2 linked regions of the Nothobranchius furzeri genome follow. Each later gene encodes a partner of the first gene's protein in a complex. Links are inferred from orthologs where the notes say so. Each region holds a gene or a part of one and is shown on either strand. Other genes may lie near its edges.

Region 1 (3,754 bases):
TATATCGGCATCAATATCGGTATCGGCCAATGTTAGTCATTTTTTTAACATGTCGTTATCGGTTCGATAAATAAAACCGGGCCGATATTAACAACCGAAATTTTTTCCATCTCGTCTCCAGTTGTTTGTCTGTTTCAGAGGGTGGGGGAGTGATGTGTAATTGTTTAGTCATGTGAACAGTGAATGTTATCATCTCAGAACCGTAAATGTGTGTGTGGTGTGTGTACATAATAACGTAAATTCAGCTTTAATAACTTTTATTCTATAAAAAATCTGCTGATTTTAGAAGCATTAATGTCAGTATATCGGTATCGGCAAATATCGGTTATCGACCATAACAGTGACCTTAATATCGGTATCGGCAAATATCGGTTATCGACCATAACAGTGACCTTAATATCGGTATCAGCCCAAATATTTCATATCGGTGCATCACTACCTAAAACACATAACTCATATAGCAAAGAGACAGGAAAAAAAAAAGACTTCTGCAGACTTACTTGATTTTATTCCTTATAATTAAACACCAGCCCTTGTGTAAGTGAAGGATGTGAACAGCAGGTGACCGTTGTCAGTAAATGTAAATTTCATGGAAAAAATAACCCAAAAATATTAAATCAGCACTCTTGCTCAACTGTTTACTTTTTTGGAATATACAATTCCAGATGTGACACAAAACTATTTCATTTAGAAAATGAAATGAAAACAATACGGCAGAAATTGTAGAAAGAAACGAGGCTAATGTGTTTGCTGATGTGTGAGGAAGCTGGCATCACAATGATGAACAATCTTATTTATCTTTGGCAAAGAATTCAGCGAATTTAAAATGTGAAAGATGTCAATTAATTATAGAAAAAGTAAATAAATAATATTTAAATTTTATTAAATATTATAACTGTTCCGTTTTTTATTTGAACAGATTAGAACAAGTATATAATTTCTAGTTATATAATTCATTATTAATGATATAATTAATAGATTAGAACAAGTTCCTTTTTTTTAACAAACCAAATGGTTTTAGTTTCTTACTGAAATATTTTTGAGTCGTATTAATTAGCTGAATGAACTGAGTGAAGGGTCCATGTTTTTGTCGCCAGGTATTGTCTGTAATCCCCCTCTGAGGATAAGTTTTACCAAATGCAACTGTCCAGCAGTCCCTCTTGGTTTCCCCTTCCACAGGCTCCATGTTGGCCACAGGTAAATCCTTTTGTCTAGGGTCCCACACTTTTACTGTCCCTGTAGGAAAACAGTAGTATTTTTGTTATTTTACTGATGTGTGAATAGGAAAGACATCTAATACTTTTACCATCTCTGCTTCCAGTAACTATCTCAGGAGCACCATCACCAATCCCCAGGCCACCAACACCATCTATACTATTTACTATCTCCTTGTGGGCCTTAGCCGTGTACACTGGCACTTCAGGAGACTCAAGATTCCTGCAGATGACACCAATAAATAACAAATAGTGATACTTGTCACGTCCTTGTTATTCATACAAATGAACACAAAACACAGGAAAGAAAGGGGAACCGGTTCTTTCCTTGAATATTCTACAGATTTTGTGGCAACTTACCAGATATTAAGATTTCCATCAAAGTCCCCAGTTGCTAAGTGTCTTTGCTGCAGAGAAGTGGCACCAAACGTCCCACACTTTAGAGGTTTGGGTTTCTCCACCTGGGATGAGTCGAATGTATGATTCTGTTTATTATACTGTTAAAAAAATCTATCTATCTATCTATCTATCTATCTATCTATCTATCTATCTATCTATCTATCTATCAATCTATCTATCTATCTATCTATCTATCTTCTAATATTTGCCATCAGAGAACAAGTTCAGATTTCAGATTGCACGTTTATCTGATTGTATTTATTTGTGTGTTTTTACTATTTTGTCATTTAACTGGGTTTTTTGTTCAACGAGAAAAGGGCATTTCCTATCGACACACTGCCAGTTGCCATGGATACTTCCGTTCAAGACTTTTCTAGAACCTATGTAACCCAGTTAATTCCGGGATAACCAGAGAAAATGACACGTCCTAAACAAATCTTAACAATAACATAATGTGAGTAACAATAACAGTAATGGCCTCACTTCTTTAATAAGCTGAGCCTCTCCGTGCTGCAGCTCATATATCTGAATCACTCCGGTCCCTCTAGGATAGTTCCCCAGGCAGATAAACTTTGCGCTGCACGGAATCCATTTACTGTCAAACACCGTGTAGTTTAAACTCTTCTGAATGTGCGCGATCACTTGAGGCTTTGAAAGCGGCGATGACATTTCAAATGGAGGGGATTGGTTCCCAGCAAAACTGCAGACAAGTCTACTAAAAAGGAAATAAACTGGACTCAAAACAAACGTCATTGAGACTAAGAAGACCGCAGCTGCCTAAAGGAATGCCTGACTAAATACCACCGTAGTGAATACATATACCAAATATAAACAATAAAATAACTCATAATATGTTGAATGAATGTAATATGTTATAAATGTCTCCATATTAATAGTTTTTTTAACAATCCTGGCGTGTATTTGTACGTTTTTATGTCTAGGCGTTGATGATGTCGCAGTTTGGGTCCTTGCCGTCGCACGAGGCCATCCGATGCGACTGTGGCCAGAATCTGCTTCAGTTTCTTGTTTTGTAATCTGATTTTTAAACTTTTGTTGAGATGGACAGCGATAAAAACCAAACCCCAGAGGTGGAGGTGGGCGCGGAGAGTAAAAACGACTCTGAGTCGTTCACAAAGGTGAAGTCTAAAAAGACCCAGAAGCGAAAACGTGAACAGGACGGGGTGGACATGGACACGGAGGACAGCGTGGCGAACAAACGACCACAGTTTCCACCAATATCTGCAGACAAATTACGGGTATTTACGAAATTGCGGTGTTTTCTTATATAATACATACGTTTTAGGATCAAAATCAGCACTTTCTGTAAATCATGTATATTTATATTATTTACTGTTCTTACATTGGCTTATTAACTAGTAACAGCTTTGCGCCTGCGCACTATGGTCGACAAAAATGGTGCAAGCTCGCATTTAATGTCACAAATGACATTAAAACATACTTATGTTAAAATATCAATTTAGTCCGTGCTCAATTGCTAATATTGGTTTCCTTGGCATTTGTTATCCTCTAACTTGGTTGGAATAATGTGCTCAATGATGGAAAGCAACTGAAAAGTTTAATTTAAAATGATCACTAAATATTATAAAATATATTTTTAAGTGAAGTCTATTTGGCGTTATTCTTTGAAAATTTTTGTGGAGATTAACGCTGAATGTTGTGTTGCAGGGACCAGATGAGATGCGCAAAATTCCTGTTCCAGGTCACAGATACACCCCTCTCAAGGAAAACTGGCTAAAGATTTTCACCCCCATCGTAGAGAATTTACAACTCCAAGTCAGATTCAATCTTAAAACCAGGAGTGTTGAAATTAAAGTGAGTTTCCTCTACTACGTATTCCACCAGGAGAACAGCTTTGTGCTGGAGCTCACCCTTCTGTCTGGATTTGTATTTTCTCTTTTTTTTCCAGACATGTAAAGAAACGCAGGACATCAGCGCACTCACAAAAGCTGCAGACTTTGTCCGAGCGTTTATTCTTGGATTCCAGGTTGAAGTGAGTAAACTATCGGAAAGTTTCCGTGAGCTCAGTGTTTTTCTGAGGCACAACGTCAGATGATTGTCGTGGATCGTTAGTATCAGGCTGTGAACTAGTGGAAAGTGGGATTTGAGTGAAGATGTTATGA
Region 2 (3,754 bases), on another chromosome or scaffold:
ATAGCTTTCATCTCATCAGAGGATAGAGGAGACAGATTATAACCTCTCAGCTCAGGATTTCCTGAAAGCAAGCAAACAACAAAGAAAAAATATCACAAACAACAAATACTCTACAGACAAACATGAGGTGCTTCAAAGGATCAACTCAAACAACAAATAAATGTTTTCCAAACACCCATCAGCTCCGGCACCGCCATCACTCACGCCAGCTGCTCGTCGTGTGAGATCAAACCAACAACACCAACATCACTGATAAGCTTCAGGTGCAGGTGCTAGCAGAACAGCCACACGAGTGGTTCGTGCAGGTGGGGCTCAGCACACGCCCCTGTGGAGTGAAAGTCTGAAATAAATAAAACCGTGATCATGTGATCCTCAAATCTGATCTCCTTTCCAGCGTTCCTGACTGACCCGGGATCTGTTGTGTCTACTATTGTACAGGTCCGGGGCGAGCCCAGTTGGGGGGTTGGGTGTGTGGGCTGCAGGAGCCCAGTGACTGAGCTGACCACACGGGGAACTTGGTCGTTTTTCCAGGGTTTTGTCCTTTTCGTGGCCCGACCACGGTCATTTCTATTTACAGCTGTGGTCGTCTGTCGTTGTCTGAGTGTGAGACGGAGAGGCTGAGCCGTCCACTTCTTGCAGGAACTGAAAATAATTTATTATTGTGACGCTTCTCTTTCAGAAGCCGCCTGAATGTTTCAGAAGACAAAAACTGTTACGGTAAGCCAAAGAACGCGTGAAAAATGTGTCAGAGCGGCGTTTTGTGATAAAACGGGTCATCACTACTAACTCTTTCTCCACTCAGATCCAACAACTTATCACACGGAAGGATTCACAACACCTGTTGGGAGACAGCTGGTGCTTTGGGCCGACAGCTCACTGAACTAGAACCTTTAGTTCTGAAACAGACACTCAACCCTAACCCAGCACCAGATGGACTCCAGCAGCAGAAGACCACACCAGCTGTCAGCCAACAACAGGAACCTGGGCCTCAAATCCCCACAGCATCACCAGAAGGGACCGGAAAACGTTGCCTGGTCTGACGAGTCTAGACCTCCAACACCAGGATCCCAGTGTCGGTGCTTTTTCATCGAGTTCCTGATTATTTTCTTTGCAGTCAGAGTTTCTTACTGTTTGTGCCTCATAATGAAGAGAAGTGTGCTCACTAGGATGCAGTTCACGAACAACAATGTCCTGCTATGAAAATGGACCTCTCATTAAAACAATATGAAGCTGGAGGATTAGTTTCCAGTGTTGCTTTTCTAACAAACGATAAATATTTTCTAAATGAGCACACTAAACGTTTAGGAAGTGTCCGAGAGACTGCAACCAAATTAATGGTCACATTTATTATCATTATTATTATAATAACCAGAATAATAAACTCTTTAAAAAGCTTTAGCTTTCATTTAGTGCCCATAAAATAAATGTTAAATGAAGAAATGGTTCCAGGTCCATTCTGATCCGGAGACTGCTGTTTCGTGAGGATCTATGAGGTGAACAAGGGTCTGTAGTACCGGTGCTTGAATCATTAGTGTGGTGGATGGAACCGCTGATGTGTCACAACACACATACCTTCGATCTCGTTGAGACGACCGACTTTAGTTCTCAGCTCTTTGCGAAGGTGGTTTATTTCCTTGTCCAGCTGCTCTTGGTCTGCAGGTTGGAGAAACGGCTCAGACTAAATTCGACTCGTGTTAAAAACGGAAGATCTAACTTGTAAACGATAAAGGATCACCTTTCCGGATCATCTGCGTCGTTTTAGACTTGGAGAACTTGATGAACATGTTTCCAAAGCAAACCTTGACTTTTTCTGTGGACGGCAGCAGAGGCGGCCATTACTCCTTCATCACCAGGGTCACCAATAAACAACCACGAGTTTCATAATTAGCCTGAGATTATTTACAGATTACACGTGTTCCTTTAGGCAATAATAACAGACGGATGTTCCAGCTTTATGGGAACGTTTGGTTGTTGTAGCTACAAGGGTTCCTCTGTGGTGTTCTGGTGGCCTGAGTGCTGATGGATCACAAACCTTTATCCGACATCTCATGTTTCAGTGCGTTCAGCGCCTCTCTGTTGAAGTTTCTCTTCATGTCCAGGTCAACAATCTGAAACACACACACACGTTTGTTTTAAGGGAGGACATTATTAACTGGGATATCCGTGCGTGTGTGTGTGGTTTTAGAACAACAGTTTTCTTCAGATATCATGAACGCACCACCTGACTGGACCAGCTACAGAAGGACATTTGACTCTAGACAACATCGGTGTGGTGACGGGTAAATGAAGTGTTGAACCAACACCAGAACTTAGCTCTCTTGGCTCCAACCGCTAAAATCCTCATGCATAAAGCTGCTAACGCACAGAACTGCGTCTGAAAACCGCGTACGTCACATCCACTCACACTTGTTAGCATGAAGCTAGCAGCTGTAACCCGCTACGGGTCTCACCGCGTACGTCACTTCCACTCACACTTGTTAGCATGAAGCTAGCAGCTGTAACCCGCTACGGGTCTCACAGAACCAGCCTGGCCACGGTGGGTCTGGATGTGTTTACCTGTTGTTTGGCGGTGAGAACATCCTCAGCCGCCTCTTCCACTTCAGTCAAGCGCTCCAAAACACGCAGAGAAGCGTCGTCCATCTTTGAGTCTTCTTCTTCTGGGCTAACGGTGGACTACCGCCCCCTGCTGGAGAGAGGTCACCTCCGCATCCGCCGCGAAGCTTTTCACAAATGTATTTTCAGAGGTGTGACCATAGACTGTACATACTCCACATACAAATGTTTTTCTGTATTTTTGTAAATATTCTCATCATAAACTAAATAAATAGGAAAAACATTTTCAAAAGCATGTCCAAGTGGGCTCAAATTCTTCATGTATAGCAGGTGTGACCAAGTCACTGCTTTGCAAGTCATAAGTAAGTCACAAGTCTTTCCATTCAAGTCTAAAGTCAAATCCAAGTCAAAGACAACCAAGTCCAAGTCAAGTCCTTAACTTTGAATTTTCAAGTGATAATCAAGCCATCTGTCCAACTTCTATTTAATGACGATGATAATAAATTAATTCCAGAAAAAAACCTTCTTAAAGCTTCTTTTTTTTTGCTCAAACAAGCAGAAACTGAGACTGGTTATAAACAAAGCGCTGCTGCATTCAGCAGTAAATCAAACCCAGAACCAAGAATGATTTATGATTTTTGTCCATGTCGTGCCACTTCTGTGACAAAATATCAAACATTCTCAAGTCATCATCAAGTCAACAGATGCAAGCCGATTCAAGTCACAAGTCACTGGTGTTCAAGTCCAGTCAAGTCATAAGTCTTTATAGATTTTATCAAGTCAAGTCAGAAGTCATTCAAATAATGACTCAAGTCTGACTCGAGTCCAAGTCATGTGACTCGAGTCCACACCTTTGTGTATTATAGTCAAAATGTACAAGTTACTGTGCAAAACAAACAAATTACAAATCATTTTCCTTGGACCAATAGAAAAAAGTCCATCGTTCCTGAAACTTCAGCTGAATCCCTTCCAGAAACATCTGTTATTGTCACATAAAATAAGAGTGGACTCAGCATTAACGCCTTTAAACCAAGTTTCATGATGGACAGGACTTAAAAGCAACATTACACGCACGGTGGTCACGGGTGTAATGAACTGACCAGGTTTGAAAATGGACCCAAATATTCCAGAAACAGTTTTCAGACTTTCAATTTTCCACATTTTCCTCATTCAAACGCAGCAACACTCAAATAAGTACTTT

What was found. Proteins that work in one complex are often made in the same cells at the same time.
Region 2: dnaaf10 (region 1) and pdrg1 share a complex: the UniProt entries of both Homo sapiens proteins name them as parts of the PAQosome complex. The link is inferred for Nothobranchius furzeri from reciprocal best matches to the Homo sapiens genes DNAAF10 and PDRG1.

The regions. Positions count from the first base shown.
Region 1 is NC_091752.1:37,855,944-37,859,697, forward strand, and holds the start of dnaaf10 (dynein axonemal assembly factor 10), read right to left. Parts: upstream 2,366-3,754; 5' UTR 2,283-2,365; coding exon 2,097-2,282; intron 1,676-2,096; coding exon 1,575-1,675; intron 1,471-1,574; exon of another isoform or gene 1,438-1,470; coding exon 1,307-1,437; exon of another isoform or gene 1,237-1,306; coding exon 1,135-1,236; exon of another isoform or gene 1-1,134. Other genes in the region: RNA-binding protein PNO1, read left to right, coding at 2,672-2,869, 3,300-3,446, 3,541-3,624. UniProt on the Homo sapiens protein: Key assembly factor specifically required for the stability of axonemal dynein heavy chains in cytoplasm.
Region 2 is NC_091743.1:5,381,675-5,385,428, reverse strand, and holds the start of pdrg1 (p53 and DNA damage-regulated protein 1), read right to left. Parts: upstream 2,712-3,754; 5' UTR 2,641-2,711; coding exon 2,557-2,640; intron 2,418-2,556; exon of another isoform or gene 2,249-2,417; coding exon of another isoform or gene 2,219-2,248; intron 2,109-2,218; coding exon 2,033-2,108; intron 1,811-2,032; coding exon 1,736-1,810; intron 1,654-1,735; coding exon 1,573-1,653; intron 62-1,572; coding exon 1-61. UniProt on the Homo sapiens protein: May play a role in chaperone-mediated protein folding.